3 linked regions of the Xenopus tropicalis genome follow. The protein of the gene in region 1 purifies or fractionates together with the protein of each later gene. This does not show direct contact. Links are inferred from orthologs where the notes say so. Each region holds a gene or a part of one and is shown in the gene's direction. Other genes may lie near its edges. The genes, in order: arrdc3, wwp1 and adrb2.

Region 1 (10,513 bases):
AACATATGCAAAGCAGGTAGTACTGTAAACAAAACTATTAGCTGCCTGAGCAGTTGAACAAAAGTACTTTTATCAGACGTGACTAGACTAGTGTATTACTTTGACACCTTTTCACTATTTAGCTGACAACCTCATGGGCAAACTATATATCTGACTCAGCCTGTGACAAAGCAAAAAAGGCCTAAAATAGATCATTGTAGCTTTTGAATTCACCTTTGATATTTTTCAGATCATTTAGTATCAAGACGGCAGGCTACTGAATGGGACAAGCCTCAGAACAGGGGTGTACCAGTTGCTAATTTTAGCACTGAACAGTCTAGAGACACTTCATCTCACCAGCCACCTCCCTGAAACCAAACAAACTGACCATAAATAGGTACATGGAAACTATGACAGCTTATGTGCTCAAGTGATATATGTGTATATATGAAGAAATAAGAAAAAAACAATTGTACGTACAACACATAAGTATATGCTTTGTACTAAAAAGTAACATACATTTCAAAGTTTATACCTCTAATTTATCTCTAGCAACCCATACCAACCAACAGGGCTAAAATCCGGTGGCCCCAGGTAGAAAATGATGATTTGAGAGCCACAAGCAGTTGGTGCTTGCATGTAAGAGGGCAGGGCTTGCTGGCATGTGGGCAGAGTTTTAGCAAAGTTGGGCAGTAGCTATGGTCTAACCTTGCATGCAAGGAGCTTTTTTTTTTTTTTTTTTTTATTGGGGCCCCATTTTACTTGGCAAGGCACATCACCCAAGAGTGGTGATTGGCATATGCTACCTGCTAATTAGTTTATGGTTTACTAACTCCGTGGCAGCTTTGGAACTTTTATTACATTAATCTGTTACAGTAACAGACTAAGTGGAAAATTAGAGTACCCTCTGAACCATAATGATAAGAATTATTTGTTAAGGTTGGCTTTGATGTGAACCACTGCCTGAAAATATGATAAGGTGTAGGCACAGCTGTAGAATGGCTAGTGCTCTACCACCCATATATAATCAAAAGTGTAAGCATATTATACAGGTATGAGATCTAGTACCCAGAAGGTTTGGGGCCCGTGGTTTTCCATAAAAGCGTTTTTTTTCTATCATTTGGTTCATTGTACCTTAAATCTATTTAAAACATTTAAACATGATTGTTTTGCCACTAGCATTGAGTTATGCAGCTCAGTTATCATCAAGTACAAAGAAAATGTTGTATTAAAAAGGAAATCATTTCAAAATAATAGATAGTTACTAAGCTGCATGATTTTAGTAGACTTGTATGGAGAGCTAAATTATGGTAAGACCCCTTATCCAGAAAACCCCAGGTCCAGAGCATTCTGGATAACAGTGCTTGTACTTCAAATCCCTATACATTATACATTATAAAAAACACATTTAGAATTTTCTACCATAGGGACCACAGATTTTATAAAATATTGCAAACTTGAAATAGTTGACACCTAAAGCTCAAGTACAAGTTCAGATTTTAGTCTTCCAATGAATGTTTGGATATTGGTTGTATGTTTAAATGGCACAATCCAAATGCAATTCCACTGTAGTTCCCCCAAGGATATCTTCATTTACACAATACATGCTCAGATTTTATTGTTATCCGACTGAATTTTTCTAACCTGGCCAATCAACTAAGCAACTGATTGTCATAATACAAACATTTTTGGGACGATAATTCTGGGCCCACACACGGTCCAACAATAGTACAAACTGGGTTTTGTATGATTTTATCGGTGTGTGTATGGCCAACTTAAAACTGTCTGATAACCTTCTTACCTTTACTGTATTTACAAGCGTCCTAGAAGCTAATATAACAGGGTGGCATATTTGTAGTAAAATGAAGGCGTTACATGCATTTATATTATTATCTATATGTCCTGTTATAAGGAATAGTGAATGCGATAATGACCGTGTTTTCTTTTTAAATGTATAGTAGCTTGTATGGTTAGGGTTGCCGTCTGTCCGGTATTTTTAGCATCGGTAAAAAAGGTACTATGGGGAACGGTTGGGAGAGGACTGCACCAAGGAATTGATGTAGTGCCCAAATGATGGGGAACAGTGATACAGAGCACAGTCCTCTGCTACTCATTAACTGCAAACCCTAAGCCGGTTGGCACATACAAGCTTATTGTAAGTATTGTTCTGCCTAGGGGAGGCAGAACAATACTTACAATAAGCTTGCATTATAGTGCTATAAACAATATGCACAATATATATACAATATCTATGTACAGTGGATATAAAAAGTCTACACACCCCTGATAAAATGTCAGGTTCCTGTGCCGTACAAAAATGAGACAAAGATAAATCATTTCAGAACTTTTTCCACCTTTAATGTGACCTATAAAATGTACCACTCAATTGAAAAACAAACTGAAATCTTTTAGGGGGAGGGAAGAAAACCAAAACAACTAAAATAATGTGGTTCCATAAGTGTGCACACCCTCTTCTAACTGGAGATGTAGCTGTGTTCAGAATTAAGGAATCACATTACAAAATCATGTTAAATAGGAGTCAGCATACACCTGCCATCATTTAAAGTGCCTCTGATTAACCCCAAATAAAGTTCAGCTGCTCTAGTTGATCTTTCCTGACATTTTTTTAGTCGCATCCCACAGCAAAAGCCATGGTCCACAGAGAGCTTCCAAAGCATCAGAGGGATCTCATTGTTAAATGATATCAGTCAGGAGAAGGTACAGAAGAATTTCCAAGGCATTAGATATACCATGGAACACAGTGAAGACAGTCATCATCAAAGGGAGAAATATGGCACAACAGTGAATTACCAAGAACTGGACGTCCCTCCAAAATTGATGAAAAGACGAGAAGAAAACTGGTCAGGGAGGCTACCAAGAGGCCTACAGCAACATTAAAGGAGCTGCAAGAATATTTGGCAAGTACTGGCTGTGTGGTACATGTGACAACAATCTCCCGTATTTCTTTTCTTACGAAGAAAAACATCCAAGTCAGGCTACATTTTGCAAAAACACATCTGAAGTCTCCCAAAAGCATGTGGGAAAAGGTGTTATGGTCTGATGAAACCAAGGTTGAACTTTTTGGCCATAATTCCAAAAAATATGTTTGGGACAAAAACAATACTGCACATCACCAAAAGAACACCATACCCACAGTGAAGCATGGTGGTGGCAGCATCATGGGGCTGTTTTTCTTCAGCTGGAACTGGGGCCTTAGTTAAGATAGAGGGAATTATGAACAGTTCCAAATACCAGTCAATATTGGCACAAAACCCTCAGGCTTCTGCTAGAAAGCTGAACATGAGGAGGAACTTCATCTTTCAGCATGACAACGACCCAAAGCATACATCCAAATCAACAAAGGAATGGCTTCACCGGAAGATTAAAGTTTTGGAATGGCCCAGCCAGAGCCCAGACCTGAATCCGATTGAAAATCTGTGGGTTGATCTGAAGAGGGCTGTGCACAGGAGATGCCCTTGCAATCTGACAGATTTGGAGTGTTTCTGCAAAGAAGAGTGGGCAAATCTTGCAAGTCAAAACGTGCCATGCTGATAGACTCATACCCAAAAAGACTGAGTGCTGCAATAAAATCAAAAGGTGCTTTAACAAAGTATTAGTTTATGGGTGTGCACACTTATGCAACCACATTATTTTAGTTTTTTTGGTTTTCTTCCCTCCCCCTAAAAGATTTGTTTGTTTTTCAATTGAGTGGTACAGTTTATAGGGCACATTAAAGGTGGAAAAATTTCTAAAATGATTTATCTTTGTCTCATTGTTGTACAGCACAGGAACCTGACATTTTACCAGGGGTGTGTAGACTTTTTATATCCACTGTATATACACATTATACATTGTGCTGGAACTTGAAGCACAAATATTCGTGTGGTAGCAGTGAAGGGAGGAAGGGTAAACGTCAGTGAACAATAAGTTTCAGTTATACACATATTTATTATGATGATGGGGCAAAGACGGAATTAGAGGCAACGTTGACCTCGGAATATTCACTTCCTTATATTTTCCAATGGAGGGGGAAACGATTCCCTATATAAGCCCTGGGAAGGGGCACAGGATCAGAATGCTTCAGAAGTGACTGCAGCACCGCACCGACTGCATCACTCCAACACTTTTTGATGTTTCCCAAAGGCCTCACAAATCACCCGTTTACCTTTCGGATGTAGCTGCCTACGTTGGATGCATAAACAAAGGAATAGGAACTAAAAGGACACGTCCTGACCTACGAAGTTGTCTCTTGAATAAGAGAACCCTATATTAGAGGGCTAGCGGAGAGTGAGTGAGTGAGGGAAGAGTGGCAGAGGGGCGCGCATGCGCAGAGAGCTTGTTTTTCCCAAAGCCGCACATAAGTGAGCCGGCACACTGCAGACAGGCGTCTTTGTAAAGAGACCATAGAAGAGAGCACTGTGACAGCAGCTGCTGCTGTTACTTCTCCTACCTGTTCTTCCCGATGAGCTGGCCGCTGGGCGAGCACTGAGCCTGCCTGCAGTCTCTGCACGGCAAATGCATACTCCAGTGCTCTGGCAACATCGCCATTGATGTGAAATCGGAAACTTTTGTCTCCCCCCCAGAATATTTTTATAGCCCCCTTTTACAATCATGGTGCTGGGGAAGGTGAAGAGTTTGACCATAAGCTTTGACTGCCTCAATGGCAGCCACGTCCCCGTCTATTCCAGCGGGGATGCAGTCTCAGGAAGGGTCAATCTGGAAGTGACGGGGGAAATTCGGGTGAAATCCCTGAGGATCCATGCCAGGGGGCATGCAAAAGTCAGATGGACGGAATCAAGGAACGCTGGCTCCAACACTGCCTATACCCAGAATTATACTGAAGAAGTGGAGTATTTCAGTCATAAAGACATCCTGATTGGGCATGAGAGAGGTAAGGATGCTGGGGCTTTTATGGGGTGCTGGGGGTACCTGATATTGGGGTGTATTGGTTATCAGTCAGGCAGCCATTTATTTGTGTGAAGTTGTAGCCTTTATATTTAGCTGAGGGGCTTGGGAGTTGTAGTTCTACAGCATCAGCATAGTGCTTTGTTATTGAACTTATGGAACGGTCATTGCCCATTTGTTTGCATTGTGTGGCTGTATATACAGCTGCTGTGGGCTCCCATGGCTGTGCCCAGCTCGCCAGCCTAACTGGAAGGTGTGTGCCGCAGAGCCCGGGCAGCCTGTTGGGGAGCCCAGTGAATATGGGGGTGATTGGGCATGGGGGGGGGGGCATGGGGAGAGTTGAAGAGTCATTGCGAGCAGGGTGGGGGAAGTGAAGGAATCATCTTGTTTTTCTGAAGTTTACACCACCCTTTGTTAGAAGCGGTTCAATCCTGTTTTCGGCTAGTGGTGTCAGTGGAGAGAGAAGTGAGTGGGAGGGGGGAGCTGCGCTGCTTGCACGGGATTGGCTGATGGGGAGTCAGGTGGTGAGCAGGCTGAATCGCTTCCAAAGGAAAGAAGCACTGAATAACAGCAGTGTACCCCTCAATCCCTGCTGGGCGATATGTGGGTACCCACCCCACTCATGCATGGCGCATCCTTTGCACCTTCATTCAGTACAAATGTCTATATTTTCCATCGTTATTGCACCTCATAACGTTAGTATCACGCTAAGGAGCTGGCATTGCTGTTCCATGAATGGCTTGCAACTCTATATGGCTGCCCGGTGATACCATTCCAAGGCAGCGTTACTTGCCAGTGCTGCATTGCAATGAGTAGTGCTAGAGTAGTGCTGAGGGCAGTGTTTGGGCAAGAAGTGAGCGGCTCTCTGTACAATATGTGGTGCTAGCCTCCATGACTTAGTGGTATAGAGGTGCTGTCACTGAGCAAGTGAACGTTGCCGGACTCCATGCAATACACAGGGTTGGGCTCTCAATTCCAGGTCAGTAAGGGCTCGTAGGAAAATAAAGTATGTGCTGTGTATTAGTGGAACAGTGTAAGGAGCCAGAGTACTGGCAGGCTCTACTGCACAATGCTACTAGGCGCTAAGTAAGCCGGTCTCAGAGCTCAGTAATGCACCAACAGGTGTCCAGCCTCACACAGTGACTAGCAAAGCGCCCAAGGCATTGTTTCATTGTAGTGTGCTGCGAGCTGTGCCATTCTACCTCAGCAACTTACAGGTTAACAGTTACAGTTAGGTGCAGCGCCACACTAGCTTGCTTGGTGAGGGAGGAGGAAGGAAATCAGTGCCGCGCCCAACTCGCATTCGATTGGCCCAGAGCAGTTTGTTAGGCTGTTGTCAAGACAACGGCCGCTGAATGCGATTGGCTGGCCTTGTTGCTTAGGGCGCCAGGGAACAGGTGGAGTGAGATGGGCGTGCCCGTGACGTTTTAGCCTTCCCTGACGCTGCTAGTCCGCTGGCGCTAGAGCAGGGGGCGGTGATAGAGTATCAAGCTCATGGCTTTATTAGCGCAGCTGCCTTTATTGTGTTGCAGGGACTGTGTGTGGAATAGGCGTGCGTGTGATTGAGCCTTATCCTTATGCTCTATACTTACAGGGTGACTTATAGTTCATTAGCAGCCCACTGGTCTCCAGAGAGATACTTTCATCACATAATGCTTTATACTATGCTAGGGAGCAGTGCTTACAGCTGTGTAAGCCATTTATTATACCGGTCCTAAGCATTGCTAGTGCTGGCTACACACGTAGTATCGCTCTGGGCATTGCTAGTGCTGGCTACACACGTAGTACCGCTCTGGGCATTGGTAGTGCTGGCTACACACGTAGTACCGCTCTGGGCATTGCTAGTGCTGGCTACACACGTAGTACCGCTCTGGGCATTGGTAGTGCTGGCTACACACGTAGTACCGCTCTGGGCATTGCTAGTGCTGGCTACACACGTAGTACCGCTCTGGGCATTGCTAGTGCTGGCTACACACGTAGTACCGCTCTCAGCAAGAATCCAGCGTGGTCTCCTGTACACCCGGAAGCTGGGGGCGGGGGGAGGAGGTGGGCGGAGACATGGGTTAGGCTGCGCTCTCTGCGGCTGAGCTACGTAATAGCTATGCATATGAGGGACTGGCTGAGGTTCTGCTCGCACCGGTTCAGGCCGGTCCTCTCCTGCTGGAGTCTGCTTGTGATTGACAGTTCCACACTTGTTTACCACACTGTGCGGCTGCCTCTCTCTCGCCTGCTCACTTTGCAGCACATTGCTGAGCTGGCACAAAGGAAGAAAGTAAGGCAAGGGGAAAAGTGCTGCTCCATTAAGAAGAGAAACATATCAAATTATATTCAGTCAAGCAAACCGACTTAAATTACCAAATCACGTTGTGCTACCTATAGACTTGCTATAATATACCTCAGATTTACTATAATGTACATTTATTTATTTGTTTTAGCAGCTGCTCCCCTTTGTATTTCGGTCAGCTTTCCCTAGGTATTCATTCAAACAAGTATTAACCTTAATTCTTGTTTTATCATCAACTACAACCCACAATCCCCTATATAGTCAAAAGCCGCAACTGTAGGTGGTGCTCTACAGCTCAGCCTTCACTCAATTACAAATATATATATATAATTGTAAATTTGCTAAACTGGATCCTGCCCAGGATGCCAACCAACAGAATGTGACTCAGCGCTCACACACCCATGAGCAGATACAGTATCTCCCAGGTGTGTGCCAAGGAGTGGGGAAGGTCAAGTTGTTTACTTCAAATAAGCAGGCCCCTCCCTGAGATCTCACCTTCCCCGTGCGGTCACGGAATTTAGGATTTTATTGTTTCCCAGAGGGACTGGTTTTATTGGTTTGCTTAGGAGCACTTGTTCTGCCAACGAGGTGACTTATTGTTTCCCCTGGCTATAAGCTGTCTCTGTCAGTCACCTTCTGTTTCACACATATTCATTGCTATATTGTTCTGGTATGTATACTGGGATATGTAGGCCACAAAAGGAAGCAGTTTCGTTTACCTTCTTCATTAAGGGTGAAGACACATGAAGCTACTAGTAGCGGCTATTTGTCACGGCCACTAAATGCCAGAAAATATCCTGCCATAGACCTAACTGAGAATTGCCTCTGGTATAACACGTATAGAGACAATTATCAGTAAATGATAAATATTGTCTGTTTTAGTAGCCATGACAAGTAGCTGCTACTAGTAGCTCCATGTGTCTTCACCCTTAAACAGGCCATAGATACTGTACTTTAATAGTGGTATACTGATTAATGTGTTGTTACATGTATGTATATTTCTCTTCTAGATGACGATAATTCAGAAGAAGGACTAACCACTATTCATTCAGGAAGGCATGAATATGCATTTAGCTTTGAGCTTCCACAAATGTAAGTTATACACAGCTTTGTCAACTCCTCCCCAATTAAAACAAGCCCCTGATTCAGTGTAAATCATAAATGAAAGAATTTTTTGAAGAATCAAAGGGGTAGTTCACCTTTATATTAACTTTTGAGTATGACAATTCAATTATTATTTTTTTTAATGTATAGGCTTTTGTCTAGCAGTTTTCCAGTGTGCTGGGGTCTAGTTAACCCTAGCAACCAGGTAGTTGTTTGGAAGATTATAGAAGAGAGTCTGAATAGAATGAAAAGGAACAAAAGCAATACAGCTGTAGCCTTAAGGGCCGTAGTTTATTTTTCTTCAGATGAAAGCAAATAATTAAAAAATGAAGATCGGCTGAAAAGTTGCTAAGAAGAGGCCACTCCATAACATACTTAACATCAATTTAAAGGTGAACTGCCCCTTTAATTGCAGTGCTAGTGGCACTTGGGGTGTTTTGTAGGTGTTTAAGGATTTGAAAAGCAGAGGGAATCTTGGGAAAGAAATCCAGCTTTGCTCTAAAAAAAAAAAAATTTGCGTAGAATAAGCTATTGTCTATGTATTGGGTTTTAAAATATAATACCTGCTGATTATCATCCCAACCAGTTTCACCTGTATTGGGGCTCATCGGTGTAGTGTAGGATTTCTGATTGGTATAGGTAGAGCCAGGGAAGTGGATACATGTAAAACTGATTAATCACAGGAATGTAGTTTCTCCATTTTTTTTTTGAGTTTAGTTGGCTAAACACTAAACTGTAAGAGGTTACATTTGTTTGGCAATATCTTGATTTTGCTTTCCTCTCCTGCACAGACCACTTGCTACCTCATTTGAAGGCAGACATGGCAGTGTGCGCTACTGGGTGAAAGCGGAATTGCACAGACCCTGGCTTCTACCAGTAAAATTAAAGAAGGAATTCACAGTCTTTGAACACATAGATATCAACACTCCTTCATTACTGGTAAGAATGTCTTTAGGACTCTTTTTCAAAGGCTAGCTTAAGATATTGCTAGAATATGTATAGAAAACTTACAGAAATAGGTTTTGGCCAGCATTGAAAGGCATAAAGTCCTGAATGTTTGCCTTGTTAAAGACATTCTAGGTAGACCACAACTAAGCATCCCCATGTCACTGTAAATAGGATACAATATCATATTCTTTGTAGAGTTCAATATGGCCTCCCTTACTTATAAATGAATGCTGGAATGGAAAGTAGGAATGCACTGAAGCTTTTCTACCAATTAAATACATTGCAAATGGAAAATACACTTTTAACTCAAGACATATTGCCTTTGTAATTGTGTTTGTGCCATTTGTAATTTACCAGTTTTGTTTTCTTTTATTTTAGGCTCCCCAAGCGGGCACAAAAGAAAAGACCCTGTGTTGCTGGTTATGTACCTCAGGTCCAATATCCTTAAGTGCCAAAATAGAAAGAAAGGGCTACACACCAGGTAGGTTTAAAATAAGAATGTTTAAAAAAAAAAAAAAAAAAGATTTATGGTAATGTTTTTGTTGCTGTCTTATTACTACTATCATTATGTACTAGGGGTTGTTAACATCCCTTATTTTGCTAAATGTAGCGATGTAGGGATTTCTTAACCCCACCCATACTCACTTGTAGTTGCGCGTTTTCTGTACCTCATGGCTGTCCACTTTTCTCATTCCTTTCAAGGTGAGTCAATTCAGATCTTCGCAGAGATTGAGAATTGTTCTTCTCGCATGGTGGTACCAAAGGCAGCCCTTTATCAAACTCAGACATTTTATGCCAAAGGAAAAATGAAGGAAGTAAAGCAACTTGTTGCCAACTTGAGAGGAGAGTCCTTGTCGTCAGGGAAAACAGAGACTTGGAATGGCAAGCTGCTGAAAATTCCACCCATTTCCCCTTCTATCATTGACTGTAGCATAATCCGTGTGGAATATTCTCTTATGGTACGTTCAGTTACTTAAAAAGAAAAATTAGGTTAAATGTAAGGTGTTTAATATCATGAATTTTATACATTTGCCTTGTGTTGCTCGCCTACTCGATTCATAGACAGCAAACAACATGGGCCCATAGCCACTCGAAGGATCCACAAGGGTCAAAAATAAAATAATTCCACAACATATTTCACCGCACTGAAAAACAGAAAGGTATATATATTGCACATACAGATTACATACATACACTGACCAATACAGGAGCTAAAGAGTTTTGGGTTTTATACAGAAGTGAACTCTGCATTGTAATAGCAAATATTTACTATAGAAGGCTAGTCCATTATCG
Region 2 (10,653 bases), on another chromosome or scaffold:
ATAGATGCAAAATCTTTGCAATTTTTCGCTGGGTAACACTTTTCTGATATTGCTCCACTATCTTTCTGCGCAACATTGTGGGAATTGGTGATCCTCTACCCATTTTGGCTTCTGAGAGACACTGCCACTCTGAGAAGCTCTTTTTATACCCAATCATGTTGCCAATTGACCTAATTAGTGTTATTTGGTCTTCCAGCTCTTCGTTATGCTCAAATTTACTTTTTCCAGCCTCTTATTGCTACTTGTCCCAACTTTTTTGGGATTTGTTGACACCATGAAATTCTGAATCAACATATTTTTCCCTTAAAATGGTACATTTTCTCAGTTTAAACTTTTGTTCCGTGATTTATGTTCTATTCTGAATAAAATATTAGAAGTTGGCACCTCCAAATCATTGCGTTCAGTTTTTATTCACAATTTGTTTAGTGCCCCAACTTTTTTGGAATCCGGGTTGTAATAAGCTGCTGTGTAGCCATGGGGGCAGCCATTCAAGCTGGAAAAAAGGAGAAAAGGCACAGGTTACATTGCAGATAACAAATATGTTCTGTAGAATACAATAGTGTTTATCTGTTATCTGCTATGTAACCTGTGCCTTTTCTCCTTTGAATGGCTGCCTCCATGGCTACATAGCAGCTTATTTATATAAATTATAGTAGACTTTCTGAAGTAAACACACAACTTTTACCAGTGCAGGGCAGCAGCATATTTTAGTTTATATATTTTAGTTACTTTTATACACTTTCATTTTTTGGTGTTACTGTTCCTTTAAGGTATGGTGATCCGAATCTGTTCAAAATATGTAAACATGAAATAAACCCAATAGGATTGTTTTGCCACCAAAACGGATTCACGCAGCTTAAATACCATTGAGTGCAGGGTGCTGTTTTATTATTACAGTGAAAAGGGTAATCAGCTCTTGCAAGTAGGGCCTCTGATCCTATTCTTATTCTGTAAACACTTGTTCATCAAATTATTGTAAGATCCCTGTTCATTATAAATTAATGTAAAGCACTGAGTAATTTGCTGGCGCTATATAAATAAATGATGATATATATATATATATACTGTATATATATATACATATATATATATATAATGTGGCATAGTAATAATAATAATATTGTGTAATAATAAAATCACACTCATTTGTGGGGTATATTTATTAACATTGGACAAGTCTGCACCTAGACAGTAACTCATAGCAACCAATCAGTGATTGGCTATGTTCAGCAAGTTGCAGGAAGAATAATGAAACCAAACTTTTCATTAGTCGCTATGAGTTACTGCACTAGTGCACAGCTGCCATTAGCAGGGCCGGAACTAGGGGTAGGCAGAAGAGGTACCTGCCTACAGGGCCGCCATCAGGTTGGGAAGAGGGGGTACAGTTGTGCCGGGCCCTATGAAATCTTCTTTTGTAAAGGGGCCTGGTTGTGGTGCGAAGATTACACAAAGTACTAAGTTACGCATAAGGTTACGCCAAAATTTATGCACTTTACGTAACTTCCGCAAATACTTAAGGTAATTCCACTGCCCCCCTATTAGCACATTCATTGTTAATTTTAACTATTTATATGAACTGCTTATTATAGAGTAACATCAGCTGTTTACATTGGGACCTATCTACTATTCTTCATGAATTTTGCAACAGGGGAATGACTGGTTATTGGACCCCAAAGCAATATCATTGGGCACCTAAGCTTACGCAGTTTACGTAATTTATGCAAAAACTTAAGTAACATATCAAGTGATGACAGCACAGAGCAGGGGCAGGTAGGTGGGAAGGGGTTAAACTTAGGGCAAACTCCACTGCCCCCCTATAAACTGAATGACTTCTTACGACATTAATCAATGGAACTCTTTATATAAACAGCTGTTTATATTGTGCACACAAGGGGCGTATCTAAAATGTTGGTACTGTGTGCTTGTGTTCATGGGGGGCCCCATATAAATAACTTTTGCTGGGTCCCAAAGTTTCTGATGGTGGCCCTGCCTGCCTAGGGTGTGAGGGGGCGCTAGGCAGGTACCTCTGCTGCCACCCCTAGTCCAGGATCGCTTTCCCCCACATTTGATTTCCCATGTGCTCCCTCCCTGCACTGCATCTGCGCGCCTTGCATGCCACGCTCCCCCCTCTGGGGCGTCCTGGTGTGTGCGCATTTTTGTGCATGCGCGGGGAGGGGGAAGTGGTGGGGCCAAGGTGGCTGGCTGGGTCGCCTAGGGTGCCTGGCCCACTTGGCCCGCCTCTGCCTATTAGTAAATGAACCACACATGAGGTGATTGTATTATTTATCCTGTTTCTTTGCTATTTTGTTCTGGGACACCAGAACAATATGTTGGCACAATGTTTAGGTGAAAACTACTACAGGTTGGTGCATTATTTTAAGAAGATGATAGCCAGCGTGGGGTAAGGAACATACTTTTCTAATCCCATCCTCTAAATGCAACACTCTCCACAGCCCCTTTAGCACACATGCCATATGAGGCAAAGGCTTAGCAACAAAATATGCCGGTTTGTTTCAAAAGCGTTGAATATGTTGCACTATAGCACAGTTGATTCCCTCACACAAAAATCTGGAGCTAATAAAAATGACACCCCCTCTTGTTGTGATGTGCAGGTTGACCTGAAACATGTGGGGTCTGTTTTTGCTTATAGCCCACAATCCCTTATCAATAGTACTGGTTGTTTATCATTAAAGTGATACTGACACCAGAAATTAAATCTTTTTTTACATCTATCATTCATTATCTTAAAAGTATTTGCCCAATACTTTTACATTACATTACCTACTATCTGATCCCCCATGTTCCTCTGTGAGGGGACTGCCAAGTAACAGTTACTTAGGGCCGTGGTAGACGGGGAGATTAGTTGCCCGTGACAAATCTCCCTTGTTGCGGGCGACTAATCTCTCTGATATGCCATCATACAGGCTTGAATGTAAATCGCCAGTGGTATGGCATATGCGGCGTTGCGATTTCCGAAAACTGCGGAAGTTGCCTTGAGAGGAAACTTGTGCGATTTCGGGAAATCGCGTCGCCGCATATGCCATACCACTGGCGATTTACATTCAAGCCGGTGGGATGGCATATCGGGGTGATTAGTCGCCCGCAACAAGGGAGATTTGTCACGCGGCGACTAATCTTCCCGTCTGTCACAGCCCTTAGCGCCAGTATCACTTTAAGGCTAATGGCACTTGGGGTAGTGCTGGAATGGCAAATATTCTGGCAAAACCCGTAGTGACTGCTGTGAATTGCATAGACCGGTGCTTTATTTGAGGTTGTTAGAGGACTGTCTCAGCCTCAGTTTATTTGTAATGCCAAGACTTATTTAGATCTTAGTACAGACAACATGGTGTGTTTTGACTACTACCTGTTAGGGTGAAGACACACAGAGCTACTTAGTAGCAGCTACTTGTCACAGCTACTAAACGCCAGAAAATCCCCTGCCACAGACAATACTGAGAATTGCCTCTGCTAAAACACATGTAGAGACAGTTATCAGTAAATGATCAGCATTGTCTATTTTTGCAGCTGTGACAAGTAGCTGCTACTAGTAGCTCCATGTGTCTTCACCCTAAGTGCCAGTGCCAAGTGGGGTGCTGGAGTCTTTACCCTTACTGCTTCTAATGGCAAGTGCATAGGGTTTGCAACTTTTAAAAATGATTTAACCTGCTGGGCTGGGGTGACAAGGGGGGTGGGGTGATGCTGTAAAGGCCCAGGGTGATAATATGAGCAGAAGAGAATTGGCATGTTGGGCAGAGGGCAGCTTCTGGTCTGAAAAGGGATGAACAATTAGGGTGGATCAGTGCAATGACACGCAATGGCACTGTTATACTGGTCCCAGCTTTAGCATGTGTTTTACCACTGGTAGAATAGCAACCCTGAAAGTGTCCCTGCTGATACACTTGGAGCAGTAAAAAGCCATAAACTAATGCTGCCTGAAACACAAAAAGTTGATTTAAACTTTAACAACAACTTTAACATGTCCCTCCTGGCCTAGTCTAAAGAGGAGCATCAAACTAAACTCATACAGATTAATGCGGGTTTAGCCAGAGAATTATATAGGTGACGTCACGCAAAGCTTGTCCCAATCCTGTCACGACATGGCCACGCCCCGTGTTATTGCTGGTAGGTGGGAGACACGTGACGTTTCCTGGGCGGGAGTTTGATGACGCGAGGGGGCGGAGTCCGGGGAAGCTCTGTGAGACGGCCGCAGTGGTGCCCGGAGCTGGCAGCGTGTGAATCGGACGGGAGCTCGGAAGGAGGAAGAGGCGGCCCGGGGAGGGGAGGGGAGGCCGAGGACGGGACATCCGCCCCGGTATGTTGGCAGCTGTGTCAGCTGGTTGGTGAAGTCGATAGGTTTCCCGCAGCAGTGTATGAGGGCATGTCGGTGCCACACACTGCTTGTTCTGCTCCTTGCCCCTAGGCTACTATTCCTTGTCTCCGCCTGGCATTAGCTACGGGCAATACCACTAGTGCTTTGCGCTGCTGTCGGTGATCCCATTCCCCGCTTTGCGTTTTTCTCTCAAGCCTTTCATTGTCGTGGTTTGTTGCGATCCGCTATTCTCCGGTCTCAGTACTCGCTCACATCTCTATGGCCTTAAGGGCCACCGGATATCTCGCTAGCTGTTTCCTTTCATCAGGGGCTTCTGGTTATTGTGTCACAGGTGGGCTAATGCTAGCCTGACTTCATTCATCATATGACTTGAACCCTGTACCCTCCTAGTGCCGCTGCCAAATCTGCCCATATCCATGTATAGTGTATAGCAGCAGCCTCCTTGCCAAGTGTATCCATGTATGTGCTACTTCTTTTGTGTCTTCCTTGTCTCCATGTGTAATGCTCACATTTAGCTTCACTCTCCTTGCCAAGTGTATCCATGTATTTCCCACCTCTGTTGTGTCTTCCTTGTCTCCATGTGTAATGCTCACATTTAGCTTCACTCTCCTTGCCAAGTGTATCCATGTATGTGCCACCTCTGTGGTGTCTTCCTTGTGTCTTTGTGCACTCTTCACATTTAGCTTCACCCTCCTTGCCAAGTGTATCCATGTATGTGCCACCTCTGTGGTGTCTTCCTTGTCTCCATGTGTAATGCCCACATTTAGCTTCACCCTCCTTGCCAAGTGTATCCATGTATGTGCCACCTCTGTGGTGTCTTCCTTGTCTCCATGTGTAATGCCCACATTTAGCTTCACCCTCCTTGCCAAGTGTATCCATGTATGTGCCACCTCTGTGGTGTCTTCCTTGTGTCTTTGTGCACTCTTCACATTTAGCTTCACCCTCCTTGCCAAGTGTATCCATGTATGTGCCACCTCTGTGGTGTCTTCCTTGTCTCCATGTGTAATGCCCACATTTAGCTTCACCCTCCTTGCCAAGTGTATCCATGTATGTGCCACCTCTGTGGTGTCTTCCTTTTGTCTTTGTGCACTCTTCACATTTAGCTTCACCCTCCTTGCCAAGTGTATCCATGTATGTGCCACCTCTGTGGTGTCTTCCTTGTCTCTATGTGTAATGCTCTCATTTAGCTTCACCCTCCTTGCCAAGTGTATCCATGTATGTGCCACCTCTGTGGTGTCTTCCTTGTCTCTATGTGTATTGCCCACATTTAGCTTCACTCTCCTTGCCAAGTGTATCCATGTATGTGCCACCTCTGGTGTCTTCCTTGTCTCTATGTGTAATGCCCACATTTAGCTTCACTCTCCTTGCCAAGTGTATCCATGTATGTGCCACCTCTGTGGTGTCTTCCTTGTCTCTATGTGTAATGCTCTCATTTAGCTTCACCCTCCTTGCCAAGTGTATCCATGTATGTGCCACCTCTGTGGTGTCTTCTTTGTGTCTTTGTGCACTCTTCACATTTAGCTGCAATCTCCTTGCCAAGTGTATCCATGTATGTGCCACCTCTGTGGTGTCTTTCTTGTCTCCATGTGTAATGCCCACATTTAGCTTCACCCTCCTTGCCAAGTGTATCCATGTATGTGCCACCTCTGTTTTGTCTTCCTTGTCTCCATGTGTAATGCTCACATTTAGCTTCACTCTCCTTGCCAAGTGTATCCATGTATTTCCCACCTCTGTGGTGTCTTTCTTGTCTCCATGTGTAATGCTCACATTTAGCTTCACCCTCCTTGCCATCTGTATCCATTTATGTGCCACCTCTGTGGTGTCTTCTCAGTGTCCATGTAATGTCCATATTGAGATTTTTCATGATTAAAACAATAGGCAAAAAAAGTATGTTCAGAAAACAACAATTAATAGAGGGTACTCCCTTATGCAAATATAGTAAAGGATGCAAAAGTAAAGACTCTTACCCAAATAGAGGCAAAAGTAAAGCAAACTACAAAAGGTCACTTTGCACTCCAAAACAAAGTATGTTCAGCACAAGCCCTGTGTATTGAGCTTGTGCTGTGCAAGGGGGGTATACTGCCACTCCACCTTTTTTGCCAACTCAGTGTTGTCTTGCGCCTGTGCACCTTTAGGGTGAAGACACACAGAGCTACTTAGTAGCAGCTACCCCTGCCATAGACAATACTGAGAATTGCCTCTGCTAAAACACATGTAGAGACAATTATCAGTAAATGATCAGCATTGTCCATTTTAGTAGCCATGACAAGTAGCTGCTACTACCGGTAGTAGGTCATTGTGTCTTCACCCTTAATTGCATTCTCTCTGCTTAGTCTACCCTTTTTTTGTCCAAGCACTCCCCGCCAGGTATGCCGTTGTCTTTTGTTTATCTTTTGTGAAATTTACTTTGGACCAAGTGCATCGTACTTTAGCTACCAGTGTTTCCCAACCATGTTGCTCCCCTAATCCCTTTGATATTGCTTCCAGTGGCCTCAAAGCAGGTGTTCATTTTTGAATTTCTTACTTGGAGGCACAAAGGCCATGTGTACTGCCACACAGAGCCAAATATGCCATTATTTGGCACCCCCTTGGAACTTTTTTCATGCTTGCGTTGCTGCCAACTCTTTTTATTTAAATGTTTTCTATAGGTAAAAAAGTTGGACACCTTTATTTCAAACTTTCCATAGGTGTTATTTCTATATCATTTCCATAAAGCTTGTCCAAGTTGTTCATTCTTGCCATACTACCCCCCCCCATTGTCAGATTATTGAATAAAATAAATAACGAAAAATATATAGTAGTACTTTGCCCTAGAAGTTGTATTAATGGTCACCAGCCTTCTCAGGGCCTTCAACAGGTTACTTAACCTAATATGACTTGTAAATGTGTGCCATGTCATGACAAATGTGTTTACTGATCATGTATCACTGTTATTTTGAAAGGAAGAAAGGTTATGTTGGTTGGTTGGTTCATTGTGGATAAAAATGTATTTAGTTTTGGCCATTTGTGCTGAAAATACTATTAAAAACCTTTGTCCCCAGTTGATTGAAACTTTAGTTTGGTAAATAAATGAACAGCCCATCCTCATACACTCCCACAAGGAGTCTTGGGAATACTGTCTGAAACTGGTCTTATTACTACATTCTAACAATGGCTAAACCCCTTTGTGGTAACTTATTCCAAACAGTCAGTGTATATGTCCTTATCAAGTAGGTTATATTGGATAACAAGGAGACAGTGGGCAAAGCATATGAAGAATACCAGAATTACTGAGTCCACCTAGAACAAAATATGCAAACTTACATATTTTTTTTCAGTATTTTTATGAGAGAGAGACATTGGAGACAGTGTCCCACAAGACAGAACAGAATTACATAGTGAATGACTGTTAAACATCTGTTACACTGTTTGTTGGAATGCCTGTGGCTGATCTGCCCTGTTCAATAAGCACTAGCCATCGCTTGTCAGTGCTCAAAAACAGCACAGATTTCGGGCTGAAAATGAACACTTAGGCTGATGCCACACGTGGCGTTTTTACGCTGCGTATTTTCTAATTCTCTCGGCGGCTGAAAAACGCCTGATATCATCATCCATAGAAATAGCTTGAAAAGACGCGCAGCAAACCACACAAAGCGGAAATACGCTAGAAAACGCCTAAGCACGGATTTTTCAAGCGTTGGCTGAAATACGCCAGTACTTGCAAAGCAAGCTATTCCTATGGATACGCAAAGGCAGCTGCCAGACCTAGCGGAAATACGCGGCGTTTTTTGCTATTTCGCACTATTAGCACCATGGCAACGGGATTTGCTTACGTCACCAGTTCTAGGCTGAAAAACGCCATGTGTGGCTTGTGCAGCGTTTTTAGACTGAGAAAAAACGCCGCGTAAAAACGCCACGTGTGGCATCAGCCTTAAGTATTTTTTGAGTTAAAATGAGAATTGTAGTGGATTGGTGATAACTCACTGACAGAGACAATGCCTTATGGGACGCTAACCTTAAGGTGGGCATACACAGGCAGATTTAAGATAGCGATTCAGCCCCTTTACACTGATTTGGCAACTTATGTAGTACCCATGTATTAGTCCCTCCAATTGCTATGGCCAGGCAGGCCAACCTTGCCAAATGAGAGAATCTTCATGTATATGGCCAGATTAGTGAAAGAGATAAGGCTTGGATGAGGCAATGTAAACAGAAGTACTGTACTGTACAAAAGTCTTGGTAAGAAAAAAAAAAACCATTACAGTTCCCTTAATTTCTGTAAAGCTTTTGCAAACAGTTTTAGGGGGATTTCAATTTTTTGTAGCTTGGAATATGGTATCACGCATTTAAAGCCACCCCTTATTTCCTGCTTCACCTGAAACGAATTGTGCAAATACTTTTAAACAATCAGTGGCATAATAACGCCACACTGGGCCTCCCCACAAAAAAATCTTTGGACAGGCCTGGCACACACCTATTGAATTATTTGCTTCTAATGGAGTCTAAGGGAGATGGTCTTTCTGTAATTCTGAACTTTCTGGATAGCGGGTTTTTGGATAATGGATCCCATACCTGTACTATAGAATGTCATTAAGGTCAAAACTTCACAGATATCATTGGTTATATAGTTGGGTAGAACTGTACATAGTGTTGTCTGGCAAATGGACCTCATAACCATCTTCTGCACCTTTCAATCACCCTAGGCCAGGGGTGGGCAAACTACGGCCCGCGGGCCACATCCGGCCCCTTTGCCTTTTTAATCCGGCCCGCCGACGACGCCAAGTCTCATCACGCGAGACTTGGTGTCATTGGCGTGCCAGAATTAAAGAGAGAAGGGGGCCCGCCCTGGCCCGGTCCGGCCCGGGGGTGAGTAAATGTGGCCCGTGAGCCAAAAAGTTTGCCCACCCCTGCCCTAGGCATATGTTCCCATACTGCATTTCCAAGTTGTTCCCCAGTACCATGGAGTGGTGCTTTTTCATTGGTCCTTATGGAGTAAACAGATGGCAGATAAAAATCCAGCATCTTTGAAAATTTCTGTGTACATATTTTGTTCTTTGCCACAATGCACACAATGCGAGTAGTTCTTCGGTGCTATGGAATGGCCTGCAGGCAGCAGTTCTACAGTTGTTGAGGGTTACTTGTTAACATATATGTTTGCTATAAACAGCTTGCTTCCAGTTCAGCTTGCAAGAACTTTCCCAAAAGCTAATTGTTTACAGTGTTGTAAGTATAGAAGGAGCAGGGGTCTGAAAGCAGTTTCTGACCGAAACCCACCTTGTGTGTGCAGTAAAAGGCATTTTTCTGAACAAACTCTGTGCCATAGGCCTTACTGATCAGTGGCTCATCTAGCCCCTGTAATAGCTCATTCAGGCATTGACCTCTCCAGGCAGCAGTGCGTATCTTGTATTCTTGCCATTAAGATTTTTTTTTATTGCCAGCAAAAGAACTGGAATAGACTGTGCAATAGTTTGCTCAGTATTTTGGAAGGGCTGACCTTGATAACTTTGTCTTTTTTTACACTGACCTTGCAGTTTTACTATGTAGTCATATTAGTGCCATGAAATACACTTTCCCAGGCAAGGACAAATGTATTTTGATATGCTTTTCCCCTTATCAGTGCCCCTTTAAATAATATTACATGTTGTTGTTTCCCAGCAAAAAGAAGCACTTTTTTTTTTAGCAGTGGCTCTTAACCAGCGGCATTTCTGGGGCTGCTGTCTCAGGAGACAACCCCTCTCCCCTTACCTGCTCTGTGCTCTTCCACGTCGAAGCAGGTCCTGGGGGGGCACGTAACTAGTGCAGAGAGCGCTATTGAGCTCTCTGCACTAGAAGAGCAGAATTTCCATTTTAAAAACAGAAATTTGGCTCTTAAAATTGCCAGGGGCATTTTTTTGCAGCCCCTGGTAACTAGCCGCTCTCTGTTGCCCAAGGCAAGGTTCTTAACCTGTTTCTAGGGAGACCAAAATTAGTTGGGTAATCAACTGTGTGACCAAGATATTGGTTTATAAACATTTATGAATCTGATTTTAGTGACTAATATCTTTTGTTAGGCTAATGCCCCACAGAGAAAATAATTGCCCGTGATAAATCTCTGCTACTACGGGGCTAATCTCTCCAAGATGCCTTTCCACCGGCAACAAAGTGAATCGCTGGTGGAGAGGCATACGCAGCAGTTTGTTTTGCAAAGTTGCTGCTGGAGGAAACTTTGTTCGACTTTGGAAAAATTAAGCAATGTGTAATCCTTTCCACCACCAAGTCAATTTGTTGCTGGTAAATAGGTGTTTTTGAGCGCTTAGTCAGCCACAGTTGCAGAGATTTATCGCGGGCAACTAATCTCTCCATAG
Region 3 (10,697 bases), on another chromosome or scaffold:
TTTCTGTCCAGATGGGCTGGATTATGGGGCATTCCCAAAAAATGTGTTGTAGGGAGCCCTGAGATCCGCAGCCTCTCCAGCAGTTTGGAGAATGGTCCGGAAAAAGCTTATTTAGTTTTTCGGGGGTGTGATACCAGAACATCAGGATTTTGTATATGTGTTCTTTTTGTCTGACACAGGTTGACATTTTTTTTGCGTTGTCCCAGATATTTGTCCAATCTGTTTCGGATAGCGGTTTTTGAGTTTTTTTATACCACAACTAAATTCATTTCCACCAAAGCCACAAATACCTAGTAATTTATTAAAAGATCCAAACTTAAAAAGCACAAATGAAAAAAGACATGGAAAAACTTTTTGCACAAATGCAAGCATCAAAAAAAAAAAAAAAACTATATACAGGTATGGGACCCATTATCCAGAATGCTTGGGACCTGGGGTTTTCCGGATAAGGGATTTTTCCATAATTTGGATCTGTTTTATTATTACAGAGAGAAAAGATATCTGTATAATGGAATCTATGGGAGATGGCCTTCCCGTAATTCAGAACTTTCTGGATAATGGATCGCATACCTGCACTTCTAACCCTCTTATCATCTTATGTACAAATAGGCTGAGGAGATTGCATCAACTTTCAAGGCAATGGCACATGGTGGGCAATTTCTCCACCTGCGCAATTTACTGCCCAGTCAGGAGGCCCCACAGGGGCCCCGCCGTGCCCCCTTAATCACCCGCAGGGTCCCCTGCCTGGTGTCCCGGCGGCACAATCTGACTCTGGTAGGCACTTATTCTCAACAATATTTATAAATACTTAACACAAGCAGTGAAAACATTTCTGAATGTGATGATCAAATATAAAAACTAATAAAATGAAACTGTGCCCCTTTAATTATTTATCCAGTGCCATTTCTGCCACAAGGCAAAGTGGCCTTGACCAAGGCAGCTATTTCTCAGGGGTAGCAAAAAGCTGCCCATTATTTCCAGTTTTCTAAATGGAATTATAGATCTTTTAAAATGGAAAACATATTTGTGCATTTGTGCATTGGGTTTGCCAGAACCTATGGTTGGCTGCGTTGCCTGTGCTATTTTTTTTAACTTTGTGATTGAGGAAGCAATTTAAAATTTCTCTCTTACTTCCTGCTCTCTATTAAGTTTGCAGAATAAAGTATTTAAAAGAGGAAGTGGGAAGGGTAAAGTAAAAAATAACTCCCCAGTACAATAATGTTTCGGTATTATTTACACTCAATATTACAGTATCATATGCAACCTTTTTGTCACACTTCAGCACTATGTATTGTACACCCTACATTTTTAATATGAAAGCCTTACCGTTTTATTGTATGGTTCTTAACCCGTTCCCCACCAGTTACCAACCTTGTTATTGCAGAAGTAAAAGATACTGTAGATCCCACAGGTACCTTTCTCCATGGCTATAAAGCCTCTTCTAGCTAATGCTATAAGATCAATCGTATCACTCTACTGCAGTGGTTCTCAACCTTCCTAATGCCTCAACCCTTTAATACAGTTCCTCATGTTGTGGAGACCCCCAACCATAGAGGAGCGGTGTCTTGGTTCCTAAGTCCATCGGAAATATGTGTTTTCCGATGGTCTTAGGCGACTCCTGTGAAAGGGTCGTTCAACCCCCAAAGGGGTCCCGACCCACAGGTTAAGAACCGCTGCTCTACTGGCAGGGAATGTTGGGAAATGTAGTTTATTTTAGAAATCAGTAATTTTTAATTCCTGACCTCTTCATTTAAAATGTTGTGCTCAGGACCATCTAATGCTTTCACTATGGACATTTTACTGGTTTGATATATGTTAGTTCCTTATGAATGGGTATGATATACAGTACTGTACTTGTCACAAAGGTCAAGGAGTTACCAGCCCCTAAAAAGCATAGGAATTTTTATTTATTATTTTAACTCAGTTGCCCAACTTGCCCAGTAGAAAGTTGGCAATGATGCTGTAAAATACTATAACGCCTCACTAGTTACACCTAAAGCTGTACTTGTATCCTGCTGTTTTCCATCAAAGGCTGAATTGATAATCCCACAGGATGTTATAGGATTCTGGGATTTGTAATAAAGATAGGCTACAAGCCTCCTAATCTCACAGACTGAAGATCCATGTGTATATTTACAAACCCAGGATAAAATTCTTAATTGGCATACAAATCCACTAATTTGGGGTTTCTTAACCCTTTTCTCAGAGACCCTGGATAAGTCTGGGAGTTGGCTTTCATGTATTTTAATTACTACAGGTTCGGAATATAAAAAAAAAAACACTTTATATGAATTGCCACTGGCTATTGCAGGAAGAAATGCCATCTTGTCAATAGCAGTAATGTAACCAGATGCAAACTTTTACACCTCTCCGCCTTTTACACATACTCTTCCACCGTTCTCACTGCTTGGTATGCCTCCTTGACTTATTAAAGCTGGGCTGAACTTGCTGCCCCCTAAATAGTTCTGCCACTGGTTAAAGAGGATCACATGGACTAAATGGCATAGAGACCACATTATATAAAATGATAATGCAAGACAGAAGGCTATGATATTTTATTTATACATTAAAATGGTATATATCTTATGCACAATGGTAAAAAGCAACAGAGAAACAACATGGTACAAGACGCAGAGACATTACAGTAAGGAGGCTGAAATGGAGCCAAAAAACCCTGCCATTGCAATAAATTAATTAAATGTGTACTTACAACAAGAGTTACTCACTTTCCCCCTGCTATTCCCATAGCATTGTACTGTACACATAAGTTACAGCTGCCTGCTGGCTGATTCTCATCGGTTGTTATCGGCAGAGCTTTGGGGGATTCAAAAAAGGGTGACTTCCAGGGTCCATCTTTTGTCCACCACCAAGCCGGACTGGAGGCAGGAAGTGCTGCTTATAGTAGGGGGAGTAAAGCAAGATGAGCCTTTTTTTTGCTATTAAACTCCCAGCACCCAATGACCGTTGAATACGGGGGGGAATTCTTTAGTGTTCTGGGACCTGTAGTTCAACAACAGCTGAAAGGCCTGCCGAGTGAGTTTTTTGGGCCACATCACCACAAAAGCTACTACGGCAATGGGGTGATCTAAGTAGCCCCTTGCCCCCCTGGTACCACTAATATGTGCCAAAAGCAAAACTCTCACTTAATAATTACCTAGGTGGCAAGTTATTTCAGTACACTCACATACAATATAGCAGCTCTATTTTCTCTGTACTTTTTGCAAGTTTACTCTGCACTGAAGAAGAATTTGAACATATCTTTTATGACAGCTGTAGATACAATTACTATACATAGTCCGAAGGTTTATTGCCGACTTCTTTTCTTCCCATACATACAGTATATGCCCATGGGCTCTGCTCTTGGCTGCAGTGCAACAATTAGAAGAAAGCAGAGGTGCAACAATTAGCAGTATGGGGCCACCATAGTCTTCACCCTCCCTGCTCTGATTATTGCTTTGCCCTTGGGAATGGGTTAGCTGGTTGCAGCATGCCTTCATAGCTGCAACTCTGTACATAAATTACAGTTCTGACTGTTTTTAGTGTTTAAATGATTGACGTTGTTTCCTATTCTGTTCACTGCCCTTACCCATTAGCGCATAGTGCCACAATAGCCTCTGCAATGCAGAATAGGTGTTGCACAGATATCAGATACACTGGGCAAAAGAATGACAAGAAATAAATCATAAATAAAATACAAGTAGTAGCTGGTTATGTGACGCTTAAGGGTGAAGACACACAGAGCTACTAGTATATATACTAAAGTAGACAATGCTGATCATTTACTGATAATTGGCTGTACCTGTGTTTTAGCAGAGGCAATTCTCAGTATTGTCCATGGGAGGGTATTTTCTGGCGTTTAGTAGCTGTGAAAAAGAAGCTGCGACTAGTAGCTCTGTGTGTCTTCACCCTAAAGCAGGGGGATATGTAACACAAGCTATCCAACTAATCAATGGTGGGAATTGTACCTAAACATCAAACTTTGGACATAGCTAAACATCTGCCAATCGCAGAAAGAGTCCAGTAATGTCCAGTCAGCCCCAGTAGCTGTAGAATTCGAACTCTCGGGGGATACCAGGGGCTGTACTTGTACATCAGCAACTGATTAGATGCACTGCCGTGCAACTTCGAGCCCACCCTGCTTAAAGCCTGTAAGTGGCACCGTTTGATCCGCCGTGCAGTATAGCGCAGTATAGCGCAGCTAACTATTAGCGCAGGCAACTTCCGAAAGGAAAAGAGAAAGGCAGCGACCAGCCGGTGTTACGCGGTATCCCGCTCTTGCTCTCCGGGGATTGGCTGGAGCCCGTTGTGACGTAAGGGCGGGTGTTAATAAAAGAAAGCAGGCGAGCCCACAGCCCAGAATCAGAAGAGACTCTCAGGAGAGAGAGGTAGTTCCATGTCTAACGCCCCACAAACAGGACGGGCACAAATGAACGACACCGGGCAACTCCGCCTCCCCCATGGCTAAATGCGCTGGATATACGCGGGGCAGGAGTACTTTCAGCGCTGCGTGTCACACCCAACCGACTCCTAACAAGTGGAAGTAAAGTCAAAGGGACTGCAAAGCTATGGAACAGCGGGTCACCGCCAGCCCCTACCCTAACAGCACCCTCGAACAGCTGGTCTCCAACGTCTCCAACACTAGCAACGCCAGCGATAAGCCCGGGGATGCGTGGATGGTGGGCATGGGCATAATCATGTCTTGCATCGTGTTGGTGATTGTGCTCGGCAACGTGTTGGTGATCACTGCCATAGCCAAGTTCCAGAGGCTGCAGACGGTCACCAACTACTTCATCACGTCTTTAGCCTGTGCGGACCTGCTGATGGGGCTGATAGTGGTGCCCTTCGGAGCGAGTTCCATCATCCTGGACACTTGGGTTTTCAATAACTTCTGGTGCGAGTTCTGGACATCAGTGGATATCCTTTGCGTCACTGCCAGCATAGAGACCCTTTGCGTCATTGCAGTGGATAGGTACTTCGCCATTACCTCTCCATTCAGGTATCAGAGCCTCCTGACCAAGTGCAAAGCCAGGATTGTCATCCTGCTGGTGTGGGTGGTGTCCACACTTACCTCTTTCCTCCCCATCTACATGCACTGGTATAGGATAGAGGAGGAGAGTGCCTTGCATTGCTATGATGACCCCTCCTGTTGTTTTTTCTTCACCAACCCTGCTTATGCCATCTCCTCTTCCATCATCTCCTTCTACTTACCTCTGGTGGTCATGATTTTTGTCTACGCAAGGGTCTTCCAGGAGGCCAAAAAACAACTAAAGAAAATAGACAAAAGCGAGGGAAGGTTCCACAACCAGAATAACCAACAGGACACCAATGGTAAGCAAGGAAATAAAAGGACCTCAAAGTTTTGGTTGAAGGAGCACAAGGCACTGAAGACTTTGGGGATAATAATGGGCACTTTTACTTTGTGTTGGCTCCCCTTTTTTATAGTCAACATTGTCCAGGTGATGCACAAAGACTTTATCCCTGTCAAAGTTTACAACTTCTTGAACTGGGTGGGATATGTCAACTCTGCCTTTAACCCGTTAATCTACTGCAGGAGCCCAGATTTCAGATACACTTTTCAGGAGCTGCTGTGCTTAAGGAAACCGGGCTCCAAAGCCTATGCCAATGGGTACCCCCAGAGCAATGGGAACAGTGCATACAACGAAGACACAGAACCTTGTCAGTATTCTAAAGACAGGACTTGTGAAGTTTTATTTAAAGAGGAGAAAACTCCCAATCCCTCCCTTTTGAACTGTGAAGGTACTCTTCTAGATTTTAGCTTGGAACCACTGGGCAAGAATCATAACACGCATGATTGCTTATTATAGGATTGTCGATTTTTTTTTAATATTTGAACTATTACAACAAACTGGATTATTGCAATACAAGGGTCAACCAGATATCCGAATGTATAATACAAAGGAAAATGTTTTTATATGTATATTATATATGTATATTTTGCAGAAGGGCAGTGCCCATGTCTTGCAGAATGTATAAATTTATTATGAGAAAATGTACATTTCTGTCTATTTTCAGTTCCTCTTAAATTAAGGTAAGAGATCTTTTGTTATAATGTAATGGCTTTTATATTTTTATGTTGCTGCCCTGTGTACTTTACTGAAGAAAAATCTACCTCAAACCCTTAAAAAAAAATTGAATTCTAAGTTCAAGAATTCTGAAACTTAAAAAAAAAAAATCTTGCTTTTTCCCCCCTTTTCTACCCCTTAATAATACAAAAAACAGCTGCTGTTGGCGGAAGGGACAGGGTTAATTCTACTTTCCTTGAGATAGCTCTCCTGAGTAATGATGGGGTTAATGTGCTGAGCTTAATATTTTGAACTTTTGAAATTGCAAAAGTTGGGTTGTGAGAGATAGGAAAACGTATATTCTGTATAAGACTGATGAAAACTGTGTGTTGCAACCAGGAGAGACCCTTGGGGGTCATTCAGCATAGGTGCAAAAAGGCACAATTGCAGTAACCTATAGCAACCAGCTTTGGTTGGTCGTGTTTTGCAAGCTGCTGTGAAACCATGTAAAATAATATCAGAATAGTTGCTATAGTTACCACCATTGTGTACTTTTGCACCTGTAAATAAATTCTTTTTTTTCATGGTTTCTCAGGGAGGAAATGCAGTAAAAAAAAAAAAAAAAGTCGCAGAGCTAACTCAATACATTTCCAGCCACCCTTTTAGGTTTGTGCCAATCTTTGCATTCCCCTTTAACCCCTCTGTTGCAGGTTGGAAAGTGGCACTTTTTATAAGCAATTTGACATTTGCAGTGACTGTCACGTATACTGGAGCCTCTAACCAAAAGTGTATTTTAAGGATAGAAGGGTTAAAGGTCTAACTTAGTTCATCTAATTTTAGCAGTGAAGTCCAAAGTTGAGTGGAGGACCCATCCCCTTCTTGATGGCAAACTAATCTGTTTTTTCGGTGAGCCCAGCCTCCTAGATCCCTATTTGCGAGATAAATGAGTCCTTGTCTCCTAGATGGGGCAGAACAGATGTTCCTACTGCTGTTCTGTAGTGTCTGATCTCTGGCTGAAACCAAGTCCTGTCAGGGTAATTAATCAGTTATCTCTGGGTTATGAGCAAAATATGGGGCTTTCCAGATGTGACTGCACTACAGTGCTCAGCAGTTGCCCATGACAGTGGTAGGATTCTGAGAGTTGTAGTTCAGCAGCACTTAAAGACAAGCTTGCGGGTTGTTTCCTCTTGTCTCTTCAATGATTCTACTCAGTATAGATTTAATGGGGTATGTTTAGGCATAAACTAGGAAACCACAGACGAAGGAAGTAAAGCAGAGGCTCATTCATAAATAAGAATATAAAAACAAAATAGTTGATAGGCTACAGACACAGGACATTACAAATTATTATGGTCTATCACTTTAATACGCCCTGCTGGACAGGCTGAGTTCTCCCTATCGCACAAGGCATGTCTGTTCCATACATTTCCTCTGCGCAGCTCACAGGGTCACTAGCAGATCAGCTCTTTTGCACATTTCCAAGCCTTACAGTATTGTATGTTGCTCTTATTAAAGGTCATTGTGCTATTTATTAATCTGGCTTGTGTTTGTGTGTTCCCCCACCCCCTCTCTTGTTTTTTAGAGATTTGCAGATAAGAATTGCCTAAAACATTAGTGTGTTTACCGTTCAGCGATCACAAAATACTGTTGACCTTTATGCATTTAAGGTGATTCTCAAAGGAGATCAATATATGTTCAGCAGTAGGGTTACCATATGTCAGAGTGCATGCTACTTGACATGTTATCAATAGGGGAACGCACGGCATTCCTTAAGCGCTAGGTTGGTTTGGTCGCTGAGTAGGAAATACTAGTGACTTAGGAAAAGATTTACTCTCAGCAGCCTCAGATTCCTATAGCGGTCACAGGGCTCCTACGGAAGCTGCTGCATAGTGCAATTTATTTTTAGTGTTATGGAGTAGTCTAATGAGTGCATATTAGGCTGGCTGTTTAAAGAAAGTAGTAAAAGAAAATAACCCATTCCCTGGTGGTTGGATCGGAGTATCCTTGTGCTGTCAAAGCCTGACATGAACCAGAACAGGTGCAAGTCATACTGACTCAAGCCGGGAGCACAGGGAGCGTCAGCCCCTTCAGTGCAATGCACAGTTAAAATTGCCTGAATTTTCTTATTTAGTGGATTATTGTGGTGCACACTTCTGTGTGCCAGCAGAAAGGTTGCATAGGTGAAAATGGCCCGAAGTGTGTTCATTTTGTTACTCCAGGGATTTTACTTGTAGCCCTTATGTGGTTGTTGAACTAGAACCAATGGTCCCTTTCATCTCTTGGGGGTTGTAGGAAGTTGCAGTTTAAATAGAGCTATAGGATTGCTGGCAGGGCATTCGTAAGCTTATAATGAAATTAATGCATGACAGAGCTGGGGAATAACATGCACATTCAGTGTAAAACGTAAAAAGGAGGTCCCTTGGGTGCCAGAACTTAGACCTGTGTTACCTCTTGATTGCTGACACTGGGGGGTATGAAGCCATTTGCAGTAGGTAGTAGATAAATACTTAGACTTGATATTTCTAGCATGCAGCCCGCATACTGGTGAATGACAACTCTCAGAACATTGTTTTTCTCCAGAGAGAACCTACTGATGAAGGGTCTTAGCCTGAGCCTTTTTCAGTATTTGGAAATCCCTTGCCTAAACTGAGACACCCATGCCCTCCGTATTATCAGAGAGATAATGATTCAGCTCAGCCAGTTTAACACTTAGCTGCAAGTTTAACAGCCTGGCAAGTATGTTTTACATACGTTTTTTGGGTTACCAACTACTTCCAAGCAAGCAGGAAAGGAGTTAAGAGTTAATAGAACTGGTACTAAAATGGCAAAAAGTATTTAATGGCTTATCAAATCCAGCCACTTGTCATTATCTCACAGAAAATGCAGTTAAAGGGAATCTCCACCCAAAAACTGTTTTCTTTTGTAAATAATGAAAACAACTTTCCAAAATACATTAATGAAACTTCTGCAATGACTTTATTCTGTTCAGTTCTCTGGTTCTGACTTCTGTGTGTTTATACTGTATTCTCTGCATTAATGGTTTTGACTCCTGAAACAATGTGGCAGAAGCCAGGTCTGCTCCAGCTCTTTTAATCAGCTGGCTATTAAGTGAATATAAACACACAGACTGATACCACTTTCAGTTGCAGTTATGCTTACAATTTAATTTAAAACCACTGGGAAAAATACTCTTCTATGACATCTGCTTGTTCATTTGGGCAGAAAAATTGAATATACACTATCTAATCTTCCACATATAAATATAAATGTTTTATATTTTTTACACAGACATACATGATTCCTCAGACTGAAAGGAAACCACCATAGTCTCTGAATCACAGGGACCCCACCTCCTTAGAAAGTCATTCAACCCCTTCCTTACCTGAAGTGATATATAATTTGGGTAGTTCAGATAGTGTTTATTTTTTAAATAAGCCCTGCCAAAAGAGCTCATGTCAAAGGGGGTTATTTTCCTATTTAATTTATATTTAATGTGTCTGAAACCAATTTATTTGGGAATCCCATGAAGAGAGTGTCAGAGGAGAGGGAAACCTGTGTGTTGTTGCATTGCGGCTACTTGAAGGCAAATCCATGAAACTGTTGATGTAAATAAAGTAAATCCCTGATCAAATATATGGCAGCTCTGCAGCTTAGGGCACGACTGCTTACAGATACATAAACACAATAGTAACCAAACCATCCGTTTCTGTGAGATGTGAAGCAGAAGGCATGCAAGTGTGAATCTGCAGAGCAGAGGTGAGAAGCAGGTCGAGGAGCACTTGGCCAAGGGGGGGGGGGGTTCTGTTTGTTTAGGACGGGTGCCACAGAGAATCCGCATTCCTTCAGATTAGCTTCTTATCATAGATTTTGCTTTAGCTAAAAGCAAGACCCAAAGAAAATGCAATCTGGTGAATTATTGCTTCACTGCAGAAGGATGAATGTTGCAGACTACACTGGTTTCCAAGCAACCAGGAACTATCTGTTCTAACTGACTGCTAGCAAACATGTTTCCTATGAATGAGGTGGCAGCCTTAAACCAGGATTGACTTTATTTCAGGGGTGGCCTGAAGTCCTACAAATCCTACATTCCACTAACAGACCCCGGGGAGGGGGGTGGTTGGGTGGTGTACTTCAACATATAGAGGGTCGAAGGTTGCTCACCCCTGTTTTGGAAAATGTACCACTTTGGAAGTGAAATGGTTTGACTTTGAACTCTGAAATAACTTTTTTTTATGTCAATTCTTCAAAATGTACTTCTTATCCCACCCACGTGGATTGCCTGTCATTGAAGCTGCCCAATTAGAGTTTAGCAGTTAAACAGCAGGCTCTGATTATAGATCCTGCAGGCACTGTGACAGACAGGTATTGCATCCCACACACTGCAATCTAGAACTCAAAGATCCTGAATAAAGGGTAGAGAATCCCAATAGCACCTTCTTTTCTGATCTCTTTCTGCTCCCGTATTGTGTTTTTAGTTTGCCTTTATTCTACTTAAGTGATTTCACCTCCAGGGGCCTGTGGTGCATTTCTCTATGGTACAATGGAAGCTATATTAATCATACCATGTTTTATTACATGTTGCCAAAATCTTTTTTTTTTCTCTTTTATTCATACCACATGATTCATGGTTTAACCCACTTCAGGGAGGTTCCCTTTTACCAAGGTTTTTGTTAA

The links.
Region 2: the proteins of arrdc3 (region 1) and wwp1 purify together in Homo sapiens (affinity purification with mass spectrometry; 4 studies listed by BioGRID and IntAct, counting the BioPlex papers as one, with this or other methods). This does not show direct contact. The link is inferred for Xenopus tropicalis from reciprocal best matches to the Homo sapiens genes ARRDC3 and WWP1.
Region 3: the proteins of arrdc3 (region 1) and adrb2 purify together in Homo sapiens (affinity purification with western blotting; 6 studies listed by BioGRID and IntAct, with this or other methods). This does not show direct contact. The link is inferred for Xenopus tropicalis from reciprocal best matches to the Homo sapiens genes ARRDC3 and ADRB2.

Annotation. Positions count from the first base shown.
Region 1 is NC_030677.2:178,683,262-178,693,774, forward strand, and holds the start of arrdc3 (arrestin domain-containing protein 3), read left to right. Parts: upstream 1-4,401; 5' UTR 4,402-4,590; coding exon 4,591-4,870; intron 4,871-6,485; exon of another isoform or gene 6,486-7,156; intron 7,157-7,606; exon of another isoform or gene 7,607-7,838; intron 7,839-8,178; coding exon 8,179-8,260; intron 8,261-9,063; coding exon 9,064-9,211; intron 9,212-9,598; coding exon 9,599-9,701; intron 9,702-9,922; coding exon 9,923-10,179; intron 10,180-10,513. UniProt on the Homo sapiens protein: Adapter protein that plays a role in regulating cell-surface expression of adrenergic receptors and probably also other G protein-coupled receptors.
Region 2 is NC_030682.2:125,459,883-125,470,535, forward strand, and holds the start of wwp1 (NEDD4-like E3 ubiquitin-protein ligase WWP1), read left to right. Parts: upstream 1-4,232; 5' UTR 4,233-4,312; intron 4,313-10,653. UniProt on the Homo sapiens protein: E3 ubiquitin-protein ligase which accepts ubiquitin from an E2 ubiquitin-conjugating enzyme in the form of a thioester and then directly transfers the ubiquitin to targeted substrates.
Region 3 is NC_030679.2:41,023,964-41,034,660, reverse strand, and holds adrb2 (beta-2 adrenergic receptor), read left to right. Parts: upstream 1-4,355; 5' UTR 4,356-4,565; coding exon 4,566-5,825; 3' UTR 5,826-7,556; downstream 7,557-10,697. UniProt on the Homo sapiens protein: Beta-adrenergic receptors mediate the catecholamine-induced activation of adenylate cyclase through the action of G proteins. The beta-2-adrenergic receptor binds epinephrine with an approximately 30-fold greater affinity than it does norepinephrine.